3 linked regions of the Saccharomyces cerevisiae S288C genome follow. The gene in region 3 interacts genetically with the main gene of each other region. Each region holds a gene or a part of one and is shown on either strand. Other genes may lie near its edges.

Region 1 (5,649 bases), on a different chromosome or scaffold from region 3:
AAGAATACTCCTTCAAATAGACACGATTTGGATTTTAATACCATTTACGAAAAAAGAGATGGTAAAATGGTTGAGGTTATTCTTTTAGATGAGGATGAAGATGTAGGCCTCAAAAATAACGATATATCACGAACAAGAGTCTGCCATGCTCAAAAAGCTAAAAATGAGCAACAGAAGAAACGTCTAAGCCATTGCAACGAAATTTTGGGCATGTGTGATAAAACTGCAGATGATGCAAAAAGAATTATTTATCAACTGGTAAATGAGAAGCATAAATTCTCAGAAAAAGGACAACAAACAAAGCCAAAAAAATCAAGAGTACTTCCGCCGTTGCCTTTTCCACTGTATGATGAAAAAGGGAATTCTTTGATCCCGAACAAGTATCAGTCCAGTATTCATAACGACATTCCATCTCATCGCAAACTAAAATAAAAAAAAAAAAAACAACCCTACAAATTGTTCTGGTAAACAGATTTGACCAGCTCATCGCATGAAGATTTATCGGAATGGCAATTTGCTTATTGCCTATTTTATTTTTTCATCGGACATTACAAAATTTCATATCTCTTACATGTAAGAAAAACTTCTAGTTTTTGTACTTTCTTAAAAAAACTATATTCAGACATGCCAATTCTGTAAAACAAATTAATAATATGTACTTTTATATCTACCAAAGATCATCCTTGGCACATGCAATTGATTACAAATACGAACATTACGCAAAGGTTTTAAAGCTAGTCACCTACTAGGGAAGAAATGTGGAGGCTACGGGCATAAAAAACATGCAGTATTTTCTCACGCTCTCTTTGGCGAGCTTTGAACAGAAGATGGTGTCTCCTGAATAGGGCTTAATGAGTAGTCATTTGAGAACTCCGGTGTGGGTTTAGTAAATGAATTAGTTGGTGTGATAGTTGTCGGTAAATTTGGTGAGATTACGTAGTTATCATTGCATTTTCCATCTAAACCATTCGATATTTGATGTTGTGGCGAAAGAACACTTGAAGGTTCTACGTTTTGACCAACATTATGATTTTGATATTTACTATCTCTCATTTGGGATGAAGTTTTTCGGGAGAGTGAATTGCAGTCATAAGTATTCCAATTATTACTGTTAAAGAAGGTGACAGTCTTGTTTGTAAGTTCAATCTTATTTTTCATCGGAGCTAATTCTTTAGCCCCTTGGTTGATCGTTAATTTCCCATTAAAACTATGCGTACTTCTGAAAGACGATGACACAGATGAAAAAGGAGAGACTTCTCTATTCTTGGAGCCGCCCCGTAAAGGAGATTTCAGTGTACGACGATTAAGATCATCTCTTTCAGAATCAGAGAAGTTAAAATCCTCTGGAATGCCATTAATTTCATCGATGTCGTAGTGGTCGAAATCAAAAAACTTACTTTTCTGATTGTATTCGTCTTCCTCAGCTTCATCAATGAAAAAGAGATTACTCATTGGTCTGGGGACTTCTGAATCTAAATCGCAATTTAAGTCATGATATTTTAGTGATTGAGACCTAGCTGGCGGCGGAAGAGGGGGGCTATTGAGTACAGCCGTATACTGTGGGCTCGCATAGTGCGGCTGCTGTGAATGAGAGGAATCAATAAGTTGAAACGGAGTTCTTAGTATGCTACTAGTGTCATCATCATCATCTTCACCATCATCATCGGTGATTGCAAGGGCTTGTGATTGCGCATCAGAAACGCTTGGAGTTATTACAATCTTAGCCGGTGTTTGAAGAATCTGCGAATGAGGATGATTGGGAGGATGGGATTCTGATTTGGTTTCATACAAAGAACTTTGCAGGGAGACCTGCCTTTCTGAATCATTGGATACTAAGCCGTTAGAATTGTTCCCTCCTGTCCCAGAATCACTTTCAGCGTCACTTGCACTATCATCAACATTAAATATATCTGAAAACGACTTTACTGTAGGCTTGGTAGAGCCAGTAGTACCTGTAAGGGAAGCCTTTATTGCAGAAGTGTGCTCCGTTTCATCATCCGAATTATTCCTTTTGAGAGAGAAACTATAGTTCGGCTTTCCATCACGTATGATATTTTTGTTAGATTGACTATAGATCCCCCGTGTTGATTTTGCATTTGCTGGTCCACTTTCTATACTAGGAGCTTCATCGGAAAACATATAAGACTCAGCTTCTGACATCTCTTTGTCGTCGTTATCGTCCTCATCAGACAAATCGAAAAGGTCATTGTATTTTTGAATAGGCTTCTTGACATTATCGTTTATTAGAAACTGCTCTTTGTTGTCAACCGTTTCTCCAAGAGATGCATCATCATGGTGTCCGCCATGGTTACCATTAAAAGTTTCTTTCCCGTTTTCTAATCGTTTTTGATAAAGATTATCACTCTCATTTTCATCTCCATTGTTACTGTTATCTTTACCATCCTCCTCCTCATCATCATCGCTCAAGTTAAAAAGATCATTGAACTTTTTGACTTTATTGCTTTTCAAGGATGTTTCTTCGAATCGAGTCGATAAACCGCATATTTCGTTTCCCTCATTACCACTCTCATCATCTTCTATACAATTCATATCGTCATCAAAGTTCTCATCCTCATATAGATCGTCTATGTATACATTTGCCGCCGGTTCCGGTTTGGAGTAATACTTTACAGATGATGTCCTTACGTTTATGCCGGCATATTCAAACGAAAATTCCGACTCATCATCATCATCATCGTCATCATCATCGTCATCATAATCATCATCATGATCATTATCGCCATCACCGTTTTCAGAAGATTCGTCATTACAATCGTTGGCTTTATGGGTTTCTTTTTCATTGACAGAGTATTCATCGGAATTGTTGTTGAGGGAATACACCTTTTCTTCTTCTTTTCTATTAAGACTAATCCTTACTTTTTTCTTGTTCAAGGTCTCGTTTTGACTATCGTTTTTGTTCACTTTTGAAGGTGATGATTGTAAGTCGCCGTGTCGTATCTTTGGTGAGAGGGAAAGTGTTTGACTATAAAAACAAGGTGACTTGTTTATTGGTGATGTGGTTTCGGAAGAGGTTAAAGTGGAAGTAGTGGTCACTCTTTCGATGTCTAATATTTTCTCATCGGTTTGTTCATTAGAAGATTGGTCATTATTAATGGTGGTGGTTGAATTTCCGGAAAACGCAGCGGCTAGTAGACTCATATCCATTTGAGAAGCCTTTCCCAAATTTATTATATCATCATGAGAATGAATTCTTGCTTGTCTGTTTCTATTTTTGGCAAGCGCTAATGCTTTATAAACATGATGTTCCTTCTTAGATGACCCGTCCTCAGCATCGTCGATATTTTCCTGCTGTTTACCCTTGTTCTTGTTCAATATTCTTATGGCAGGTTCCAGGTTAGATGGTGATGTAGTTGAAGTTAGATTTTCATTGCCAATGATAGGGGTTTTGAATTGTTTAGAAGAAGTCGCTTCAGATGTGTTTGATGCTGGGGAAGCAGGATCGTTTAATATTATTACGTGCGATTCGACCTTGGAATCTCCCCACGAATGAGTAATTGTGCCCTTAATAGCAGGCAGAGAGTCTGTGGTTCTATTAAAATCTTTTGCAGGAGAAGTTTTTTTATATGCAGTATATTCACTTTCATTGTCATGACGTGAAAAGGAAGAGGTAGAAGAGGAAGGAAAGAGCGGCGGTGGTAATGGCGGCGGAGGTCCAGTATTTTTTGTGGGTGGATTTTGGAGAACAAATGAATTTGAAGTAGTCTGATTTGTGCTTGTGGTTGGAGTTGAAGCTAAATGCGAGTTTAAGTTTGAGTTTGAAGTTTTCTTGAACAACTTTGAAGTCTTGTTAGCCAAACGATGGAAAGACTCAAATCCAGGTGAGTGTTTCGCGGGTGGTGGAATGCTATCGTAATTCATTTGTGATGGTGTAGATGGTAGAAAGTCTAAGGAGTCATCACTTGACCTTTGAGAACTATTATTAGTATTGCCACTGAAGTTGCTATGTCGCTTGGGGCTTTCATCAAACGACGTGGACTTCTTATGGGCTTTTATGAAAGACCGCATGATGAAATATTCCAGTTATGCGTGTGCGTCTTGTGATGCAGATCCTTTTGGGCAAAAACAGTTGGTTTGTGCGAAAACGCAAGGTAATAAATAGGCTTAAAGGAACTAAAAAAAAAAAAAGGAAAATAACCAGCTAAGATTTAAGGTACAAGAAAGCGGTTGCACCTCAAGTAATGATAGTTATTAAACCTTGGATTGGACCAGATGTTTAAAATTGTTTTCAATAGTAGATTTGCAGTCGTAAATGCGTTCTCAGCAATATCATATTGTGTTTATGAAGTATTACCAAACGGGTAGAAGAACGGTTTAAGAGAATATGTCCGGATAAAGCGATCAGGAGAAAAGCTTAAAACCCAAAGTGGTCAATCTGCAGCCCATTTAGGCACTCTGCATTTAACCGATACCCGGATTGAAGAAAGCTGGCGGGTGTATGGGTGAAGGAGAAGAAAGGAAGTGATTAGGAGAAACCTCATGGAGATGAGCACATGCTACAACTAATAACGTTATTCTACTTAAAACGAGCAAAACAAAAAAAAAAACAAGACAATTGAAAACGCAATGGATGCATTCAGCTTAAAGAAGGATAATCGAAAAAAATTTCAAGATAAACAGAAATTGAAAAGAAAACATGCCACACCCAGTGATAGAAAGTACCGGCTATTGAACCGCCAAAAAGAAGAGAAAGCTACCACAGAGGAGAAAGATCAAGACCAAGAACAGCCCGCCCTGAAGTCAAACGAGGACAGGTACTATGAGGACCCGGTACTCGAGGACCCGCATTCTGCAGTCGCCAATGCAGAGTTGAACAAGGTGCTAAAAGACGTCCTCAAAAATCGGCTCCAGCAGAACGACGACGCCACAGCCGTCAATAATGTTGCTAATAAAGATACTTTGAAAATCAAAGACCTCAAGCAGATGAATACGGATGAGCTCAATCGTTGGCTCGGACGGCAGAATACAACATCGGCTATAACAGCGGCTGAGCCCGAATCATTAGTCGTTCCCATTCACGTACAAGGTGATCATGATCGTGCGGGCAAGAAGATCAGTGCCCCTTCGACCGATCTACCGGAAGAACTAGAGACCGATCAGGATTTCCTTGATGGACTGCTCTAATCGCGCGGTACGACAGTTACTGCGTGAAAAGATTATCAGCGCCCCTTTTTTTCTTCTTTGTTCTTAACGTTTCTTTTTCTTGCGGCTTATGCCCGTACTTATAAAACAACGGCCTCCCGTGCCCTATTACCTTCCTGATAGACCGGACAATAACGTCACTACATACAAAGTTATACACTAACAGAAACTCAAACACAAACGTTTTTATAATAGTCAAAATTAAATATCTCTCATAATGGGTTCCGAGACAAAACATTCTGCAAAAGTCAAGATTGTCACAAGGGAAAGTCCTCCTTCCGCCAAGGAGCACATGCGCCCCACTAAAACTCAAATATTAGTTCCACCGACGCAGAGTTTGCCCAATGGCAAGAAACCAAACTTCGGTAAGTCTACAAAACAGCGGCGAGAACCTAGGGAACGCACCTCGAAGACGGGACACGAGGACGATAAGGCAACGATGGTCACTGTTAACATAGATGCCTTCCTACATGATAAGGCCCCTAAAAA
Region 2 (4,811 bases), on a different chromosome or scaffold from region 3:
TTCAGTTTGCTCTATTATTTATCAGAAAGGGTAAAAAACTATCAAGATAAGTTAGTTGAGGATGAAATTGATGAAGAAGAAGGACCACAAAAAGAAGAAGCGCCAAAGAAGCATAGACCTTACGGTCAGAAAATGTATATCATAGGTGAGCTGTCGCAAATGATTCTATTGAATTTAAAAGAGAAGAAAAATTGGCAACATTCAGCATATCCAGGTAAATTAAACTTACCATCAGATTTGTTCAAACCTTTTGCAACGGTTCAGGAGGCCCAGTTATCTTTCAAAACATACATACCAGAGAGCTTGACTGAAAAAATACAAAACAATATAAAAGCTAAAATCGGACGGATTCTTCACACGTCACAAACTCAAAGACAAAGGCTTCAAAAGAGGTTATTAGCTCACGAAAACAATGAATCACAAAAAAAAAAGAAGAAAGTTCATCATGCGAGATCACAGGCTGACGACGAAGAAGGTGATGGGGATCGAGAATCAGACAGTGATGATGACAGTTATTCACCGTCTAACAAAAATGAAACCAAGAAAGGGCACGAAAATATTGTGATGAAGAAATTGAGGGTCAGGAAAGAAGTTGACTACAAAGACGATGAAGATGATGACATCGAGATGACTTAGAAGGGAAAAAAACATCAATTGCTATGTTGTAAATGGAAAAAAAAGGAAAATAGGTAGATCTCTCACTTTAAGATGCGATACATATGCCTATGTATGTGTGTATATATGTAAGGAAGGTGTTCACGTTCCTGATTTATTCTTTATGTATGTACGCCGTTTCTATTCGGATTGGTTTTCGGGATTTTCTATGTTTAAAAATTTTAACAGTTCTTCCTTTGGTTTGGATTCGATAATCTTCTTTAAATATAACAGATGCTTTATTTCATCGCTGGAAAAGTCATTGAATTGTATAGAATCTAGTTCGTTCGGCACGACTACGTTAGTCAGTTCTTTCAAATCCCATAATTTTCTTAAGTTATTGCTTTTGGAAGCCGATTTATTGTTACTACTCTTGTCGTTGTTGCTAACTTGGAAATATATTAAAGAGGCTATGTCTTTGACCATATTATCCTCGCTATTGCCATTTTGGGATCCATTTGATACTAACTTATCTATTAAACTTTCTTGAAATTGAAAGAGTTTTCTTTTTTGAACCATTTTTGATTTGTAAATTTTATCAAAAAAATCATATTTAATGGAATTTTCATCTATTTGTGTAATTTTGAAATCTTGATTGAAATCATAATCTGTATGACTAGTTGTTGGTATGATTTGAATGTTCCCGTTATTTTGGTAGCCTATTTTTTGTAAAGGTTCATAATAAAGTTGGTTTTTCTTGTTTATCAATCGTTGTTTTTTCCACACCTTATAATTTACGCTATTATCTTCTTGACAATGGTGTATCTTTTTGTAAACTTTAGTTGGGGAATGTAGAGGACATTTCCATTTTGAACCTAAGTTCTTGAAAGAAGCCCTCGGTACACAATCCAAATGCCATGGAGTCTGACAATAATCACAAGTCATTATTAATCTTGAATTTTCTGGATGAGACCATGAACCTAGTCTGGTTTGATTGCATTTGTAACAAATTAAAAACTTACCTGAATTTGAATCTATATGTGTATCCGGGTTGTAAGAGTCCAATTTAGTTATGCTTTGGCCATAAGAAGTGTTAAACAATTGTCTATCAGTTAATGGAATCTTATCATTCTCATCAGAGTATTGTCCTCTCGAACCCGTTTTCACAGCAGGAAAGGTTTCTTTTATATAATTTGGTAGCTGGAACTGTTTTGGGTTGTGGGAATCGATATTGAAAAGTAATTTAGCAAAAATCTTGACGTTGTTATTTTGCTTAATGAAGTTGGATTCAATTTTTTTTAAAGTTGCCATTGAGTTATTTATGAAGATTTTAAACTTACATTCATTACAATGCCAATCACCTTTAGGCAGGTTGTTCGGATCAATTGGTGGGTCTAAGCAAAGAAAGTGAAAGGATTTGGGGCATGTATCACAGCATAAAAAAGAACCTGACTGATTACAAGCCGAACAAAAATCTTCATTCTCAAAATCTATGGTTGAATTGTTCTTGTCCCTGAAAATTTTTTCACTCGCATTCGATGTTGACTTGATGGAATTTTGGCCAAATAGTTTACTTTTTGAATCATAGGTAGCATTCGTTGAAAGTATTATTTTGGTTCTAATATTTGATAGCTTTTTATTATCGCGGTCGCTTTCAGGTTCACGGTCACGAGTTCTGTTTATTATATCGCCATTCCAACCAATAGTTGACCGTATATTGCTCTCTTCAGTCATGTTCTCAGTTAAAAACGTTTTCAAATCATTTCTGTTCAAATCCTGAAAATTTTTCGGCACCTGAGTAAATCTTTTACTGGGGACCAGCGTCATTTCTGAGTTGTTCGATTGGCCTCCCAAATTTTTTCTATAATTCCAAAGAGACTCTCGCTTGATTTTCTCAGAAGGACCTTTATTTAACGGCAATCCAGTGACAGATACCTTCGAATCTTCCGAGATGGTGGATGGCTCATTAAGTTTGATGATATTACCCTTGGAGTCCTTTTCAAGAAGTTCCTTGGGTTCTTCTTCCGGGATATTGTCTTCAACTGCAAGATTGCTATGCTCGTTCTTGAATGATCTTTCTATACCTTCAGAAGTGATGATCTTTCTCCTTTTCAAATCGTAATTTACATTCTGGGAGGATAGTCTCTTAGGACGTTTTTTCTCTTTGGAAGAAGATGAAGAGAGAGAAGAAGATGAAGGAGAAGAACTGTTGGAATGTGAGGGCGACCTAGTAGTATCTTTCTTGCTGGTGTCCATTGTATTATTATTAGCAGATGGTAATGGAAGTGTCTTTTATAGGTTTTTCTATGGTGATTATTCTCGTTTATACTTGGTATTCTTCTTCCTTCCTCTCGTGCTTGTTGCAAATGTTCAAACGCGTAGTGGGTACGTCGTTCTCTACAAAGGAATGAGGCAGATCTTGCAGCGAGCTACTAAAACTACCACTTATGGGTTAACACGATATATATGTATTTATATCTACTAATATGGTATTAAGGCTCAAAAATAACCTTGCAACAGAGAGCAATAGTATAATTTCCTACATGAGGAAGAAAGTTGCCTATTATGGTGAGCAGGTGAAATCCTAGCTGCGAACGGGAAACTTATTCGGACGAGAAACAGATGAGAAACAGATGAGAATTTTTGGGCTGGGTAAGCGAGAATTTTTATACCACTTGTGGTTCTACAAGGAGAACCAAGAGTAAAAGTTGAAAAATCTTCTTGCTCTCTGGATTACAATTCAGGAGGAAGTGTGTGCTCAGATATGGACCCAGAGTTACAAGCTATTAGGGAAGCCAGATTGGCTCAGTTGAAAAACAACAGTGGGGGTACCAACGGCGATAGAAATAGCGGTGCTAATAATGGTGGAGGTGAAAATTCCGCTCCCGTTGGTGCAGCTATTGCAAATTTCTTGGAGCCACAAGCTTTAGAAAGATTATCTCGAGTGGCCTTGGTCCGTAGAGACAGGGCCCAAGCAGTAGAGACATACTTAAAGAAACTGATTGCTACAAACAACGTCACTCATAAAATCACTGAAGCTGAAATTGTTTCAATCTTGAATGGTATCGCCAAGCAACAAAATTCACAAAATAACAGTAAGATTATCTTCGAACGGAAAGATTTCAGCGAAGATCTGAATTCATTTGACAAGCAGAATGCTAAAAATGATGACGACGAAGATGATGACGACTTCTTTGATTAGTTTATATAAACGAATAATATGTTTTTTCGTATAATGTTACATTTAGTACAAATCATATCCTTTATAGAACTAGAGTTAAAGTTACATTAATTATGTGTAGCAAAAGGACGAATAAGCAGAATATAACATATTAGCAGGTGCTTAGATTACACTCATAGAGATATGAGTAGTGACGGCATGAACAGAGATGTTTCAAACTCGAAACCAAATGTCAGATTCGCTGCTCCTCAGCGACTAAGCGTTGCTCATCCTGCCATATCATCCCCGCTGCATATGCCCATGTCGAAGTCGTCAAGAAAGCCTCTTGTAAGAACCAAAATAAGACTAGATCCTGGGCACAGTGCTCTGGACTGGCACTCTCTAACCTCCAATCCAGCGAATTATTATACAAAATTCGTTTCGCTACAGCTTATCCAGGATTTACTCGATGATCCGGTATTTCAAAAAGATAACTTCAAGTTTTCACCTTCACAACTGAAGAACCAATTGCTTGTCCAAAAGATACCCCTTTATAAAATAATGCCACCCTTAAGAATAAACAGAAAAATCGTAAAGAAGCATTGTAAAGGTGAGGACGAGTTATGGTGCGTTATAAACGGCAAAGTCTATGACATTTCTAGTTATTTGAAGTTCCATCCAGGTGGTACGGACATCTTAATAAAGCACCGTAATAGTGACGATTTGATTACATATTTTAATAAGTATCATCAATGGGTTAACTATGAAAAATTATTACAGGTTTGTTTCATTGGCGTTGTATGCGAATAAAGGTTACCAGAGATAAAAAAAAAGTTTGAAGACTTACATAGGATATAAAAACACTACACACTTGCTTGGTTAAGTTAAATTTATTTATTTGTTTGGATAGGAACGGAAAGAATAAAGGCATAAAAAACATTGTGAGAGTACCGCGGTCTAGTTGAGAGGGTAGCGAGCATTATATTCTTGGATAGCTTTTTTGTACTCTTGTATGTATTTGTCCTTAATGCTTTGATCCAAGGATTGCCATTTATCT
Region 3 (2,893 bases):
GATGCGAACCTTCTTTGAGAAACTGCAGCAGTCTTAGCGATAGATCGGTAATATTGGATAGCTCTTGTGGTCCTCGCCACTGTGCTAAGGGTCTTTGTGGTTCTTGTTCTTAGCATGCTCTATTTGCAAATCTTTTCGTTCAAGCACCTCGAAAACCAAAAGAAAAAACAACTAAACTTTGAAACAGCTGCAAATGCACACTGTATTATCAGGTTTTAGGTGTCCTAGTAACCGTATCAGCTTGTCGTTGCTGCAATACCAATGCAAAAGCATGGCTAAAAGACTTCGTCTGACTTATTTCCTTCCGGTGGCAAACATCATACACCCTTTACAAAGCACCCATACATTACATTGAATACATTACACACTAACAATAAAATATTATCTATATCGTTACATTCATTAATTACACGAGAACCAACGACCAGCAGGAAATAGCCCCGTGCTATTCCATCCTGACAGCTAGCAACTTTTGCGATCTACCACCTGGTTTTGTCTTCTCAAGGCACCTCTTCGTCGTCCTGCTCATACATTAGTTGATTCTTCAGCGCCTGTTGTTGCCTGTATTTAGCCAAGTAGATTTTCAACACCTCTGCATAGTTCTCGAATCCTAAGGCGTGCAATGATATGAGAATGTCTTCCCCGTTTATCGTCTTTCTTTTGTCAGCAGCGCATCGATCGCTGGCCTCGCTAGTCACAAAAGAAATGAGCTCACTGACACACTCCTGCATGCACTCTTTCGCATCTTTCGATACCTTAGCACTCGGTGGGAGAGTATTCTTCATGAGTCGCGCTACATTGTTGATGGGTAGCCATCTGTCCTGCTCTCTTAGCGTGGAAATTTGCTGCAAACTGCCGCTGGAGCTAGCGTTTCCACCGTTCTCCTGAGTATCCTCTGGGCTTGTGCTAACATGTTCGGACTCGTTGGTATTCATATTCTCGAGAGGTTTGTGCCACTTGTGTTACTATCTAGCTTAGTCCTGCTCTTGAGTTTGATTGGCGGAAAGCTACTATTCGCAGCTCTTTTTTTACTTAGTCTGAAAGAGCGGACCAAAAAACGCACGTAGCGCGATATTGTCGTGGCATCGAACGTAATATGGTACTTCTATTGTGCTATATTTTGGCAGAAGGTTTGCAGTAATCGCAGCCTGGAGAAGACAATGCGTATTAGTAGCAGTAAAGGGCCACAGATAGGGTGATTTGAAGTTGATTCTGCTTTTGTCAGTGAAGGAAAAGAAAAAATGGCGAAAAAAAACTCACAATTGCCCTCTACTAGTGAGCAGATCTTGGAAAGGTCCACAACAGGAGCTACCTTCCTCATGATGGGCCAACTTTTCACCAAACTGGTAACGTTCATACTAAATAATTTGTTGATCAGGTTTCTGTCGCCCAGAATTTTCGGTATCACGGCCTTTCTAGAATTTATACAGGGCACAGTGTTATTTTTTAGCAGAGATGCGATTCGTCTGTCGACGTTGAGAATCTCAGACTCCGGTAATGGAATAATCGATGATGACGACGAGGAGGAGTACCAGGAAACTCATTACAAGTCTAAAGTTTTGCAAACCGCAGTCAATTTTGCTTACATTCCGTTTTGGATCGGGTTTCCACTGTCCATTGGTCTTATCGCCTGGCAGTACAGAAACATCAACGCGTATTTCATCACTCTTCCATTCTTCAGGTGGTCGATTTTTCTTATCTGGCTGAGTATCATCGTGGAGCTGTTAAGCGAGCCATTCTTCATCGTCAACCAGTTTATGTTGAACTATGCCGCAAGGTCAAGATTTGAAAGCATCGCGGTGACTACAGGATGTATTGTCAATTTTATAGTTGTTTATGCCGTTCAGCAATCCCGCTACCCAATGGGGGTTGTCACATCGGACATTGACAAAGAAGGCATCGCCATATTGGCATTTGCCTTGGGAAAGTTAGCACATTCGATCACCCTGCTAGCATGTTACTACTGGGACTATCTCAAGAATTTCAAACCAAAGAAATTGTTCAGTACCAGGCTAACGAAGATAAAAACGCGTGAAAATAACGAATTGAAGAAAGGCTACCCAAAGAGCACATCTTATTTTTTCCAAAACGACATTTTACAGCACTTCAAAAAAGTTTATTTTCAACTATGTTTTAAGCATTTGTTGACAGAGGGTGATAAGTTGATTATCAATTCTTTATGTACTGTGGAAGAACAAGGCATTTACGCTCTATTGTCGAACTATGGATCGCTACTAACAAGATTATTATTTGCGCCGATCGAAGAATCTCTGCGGTTATTTTTGGCCCGTTTATTATCCTCGCATAACCCTAAAAATTTAAAACTATCTATTGAAGTCCTGGTGAATTTAACAAGGTTTTACATATACTTATCGTTAATGATCATTGTATTTGGGCCTGCCAATTCATCCTTTTTATTGCAGTTCTTGATTGGCTCGAAATGGTCCACTACTTCCGTTTTGGACACTATAAGAGTCTACTGCTTTTACATCCCATTTTTATCGCTTAATGGTATTTTTGAAGCTTTTTTCCAGAGTGTAGCCACTGGTGACCAAATTTTGAAACATTCATATTTTATGATGGCCTTTTCTGGTATTTTCCTGCTCAATTCCTGGCTTCTTATTGAAAAACTCAAACTATCAATCGAAGGCTTGATATTGAGTAACATCATTAACATGGTGTTGAGAATATTGTATTGTGGAGTTTTCTTGAATAAATTTCATAGGGAACTGTTTACAGATTCCTCTTTTTTCTTCAATTTTAAGGATTTCAAAACAGTTATTATTGCTGGCTCAACGATCTGTCTACTTGACTGGTGGTTTATTGGGTACGTTAAAAATTTACAACAATTTGTTGTTAACGTATTATTCGCAATGGGATTGTTAGCGTTAAT

What was found. A genetic interaction does not mean that the proteins touch.
Region 1: mutations in HAP3 (region 3) and ZRG8 together harm fitness more than expected from each alone (negative genetic interaction), as found in Saccharomyces cerevisiae (2 studies listed by BioGRID).
Region 2: mutations in HAP3 (region 3) and RCO1 together harm fitness more than expected from each alone (negative genetic interaction), as found in Saccharomyces cerevisiae (4 studies listed by BioGRID).

Annotation. Positions count from the first base shown.
Region 1 is NC_001137.3:217,262-222,910, forward strand, and holds ZRG8 (Zrg8p), read right to left. Parts: upstream 4,027-5,649; coding exon 796-4,026; downstream 1-795. Other genes in the region: FIR1 (Fir1p), read left to right, coding at 1-432; YER034W (uncharacterized protein), read left to right, coding at 4,585-5,142; EDC2 (Edc2p), read left to right, coding at 5,378-5,649. UniProt on the Saccharomyces cerevisiae protein: Involved in the integrity functions of RAM, a conserved signaling network that regulates maintenance of polarized growth and daughter-cell-specific transcription.
Region 2 is NC_001145.3:412,021-416,831, reverse strand, and holds RCO1 (Rco1p), read right to left. Parts: upstream 2,851-4,811; coding exon 796-2,850; downstream 1-795. Other genes in the region: sister chromatid cohesion factor PDS5, read left to right, coding at 1-636; YMR075C-A (uncharacterized protein), read left to right, coding at 779-1,144; SDD2 (Sdd2p), read left to right, coding at 3,359-3,796; IRC21 (Irc21p), read left to right, coding at 3,959-4,564; DNA-binding protein ABF2, read right to left, coding at 4,712-4,811. UniProt on the Saccharomyces cerevisiae protein: Catalytic component of the RPD3C(S) histone deacetylase complex responsible for the deacetylation of lysine residues on the N-terminal part of the core histones (H2A, H2B, H3 and H4).
Region 3 is NC_001134.8:181,160-184,052, forward strand, and holds HAP3 (Hap3p), read right to left. Parts: upstream 936-2,893; coding exon 501-935; downstream 1-500. Other genes in the region: ATP-dependent Lon protease PIM1, read right to left, coding at 1-116; RFT1 (glycolipid translocation protein), read left to right, coding at 1,242-2,893. UniProt on the Saccharomyces cerevisiae protein: Acts a component of the CCAT-binding factor, which is a transcriptional activator and binds to the upstream activation site (UAS2) of the CYC1 gene and other genes involved in mitochondrial electron transport and activates their expression.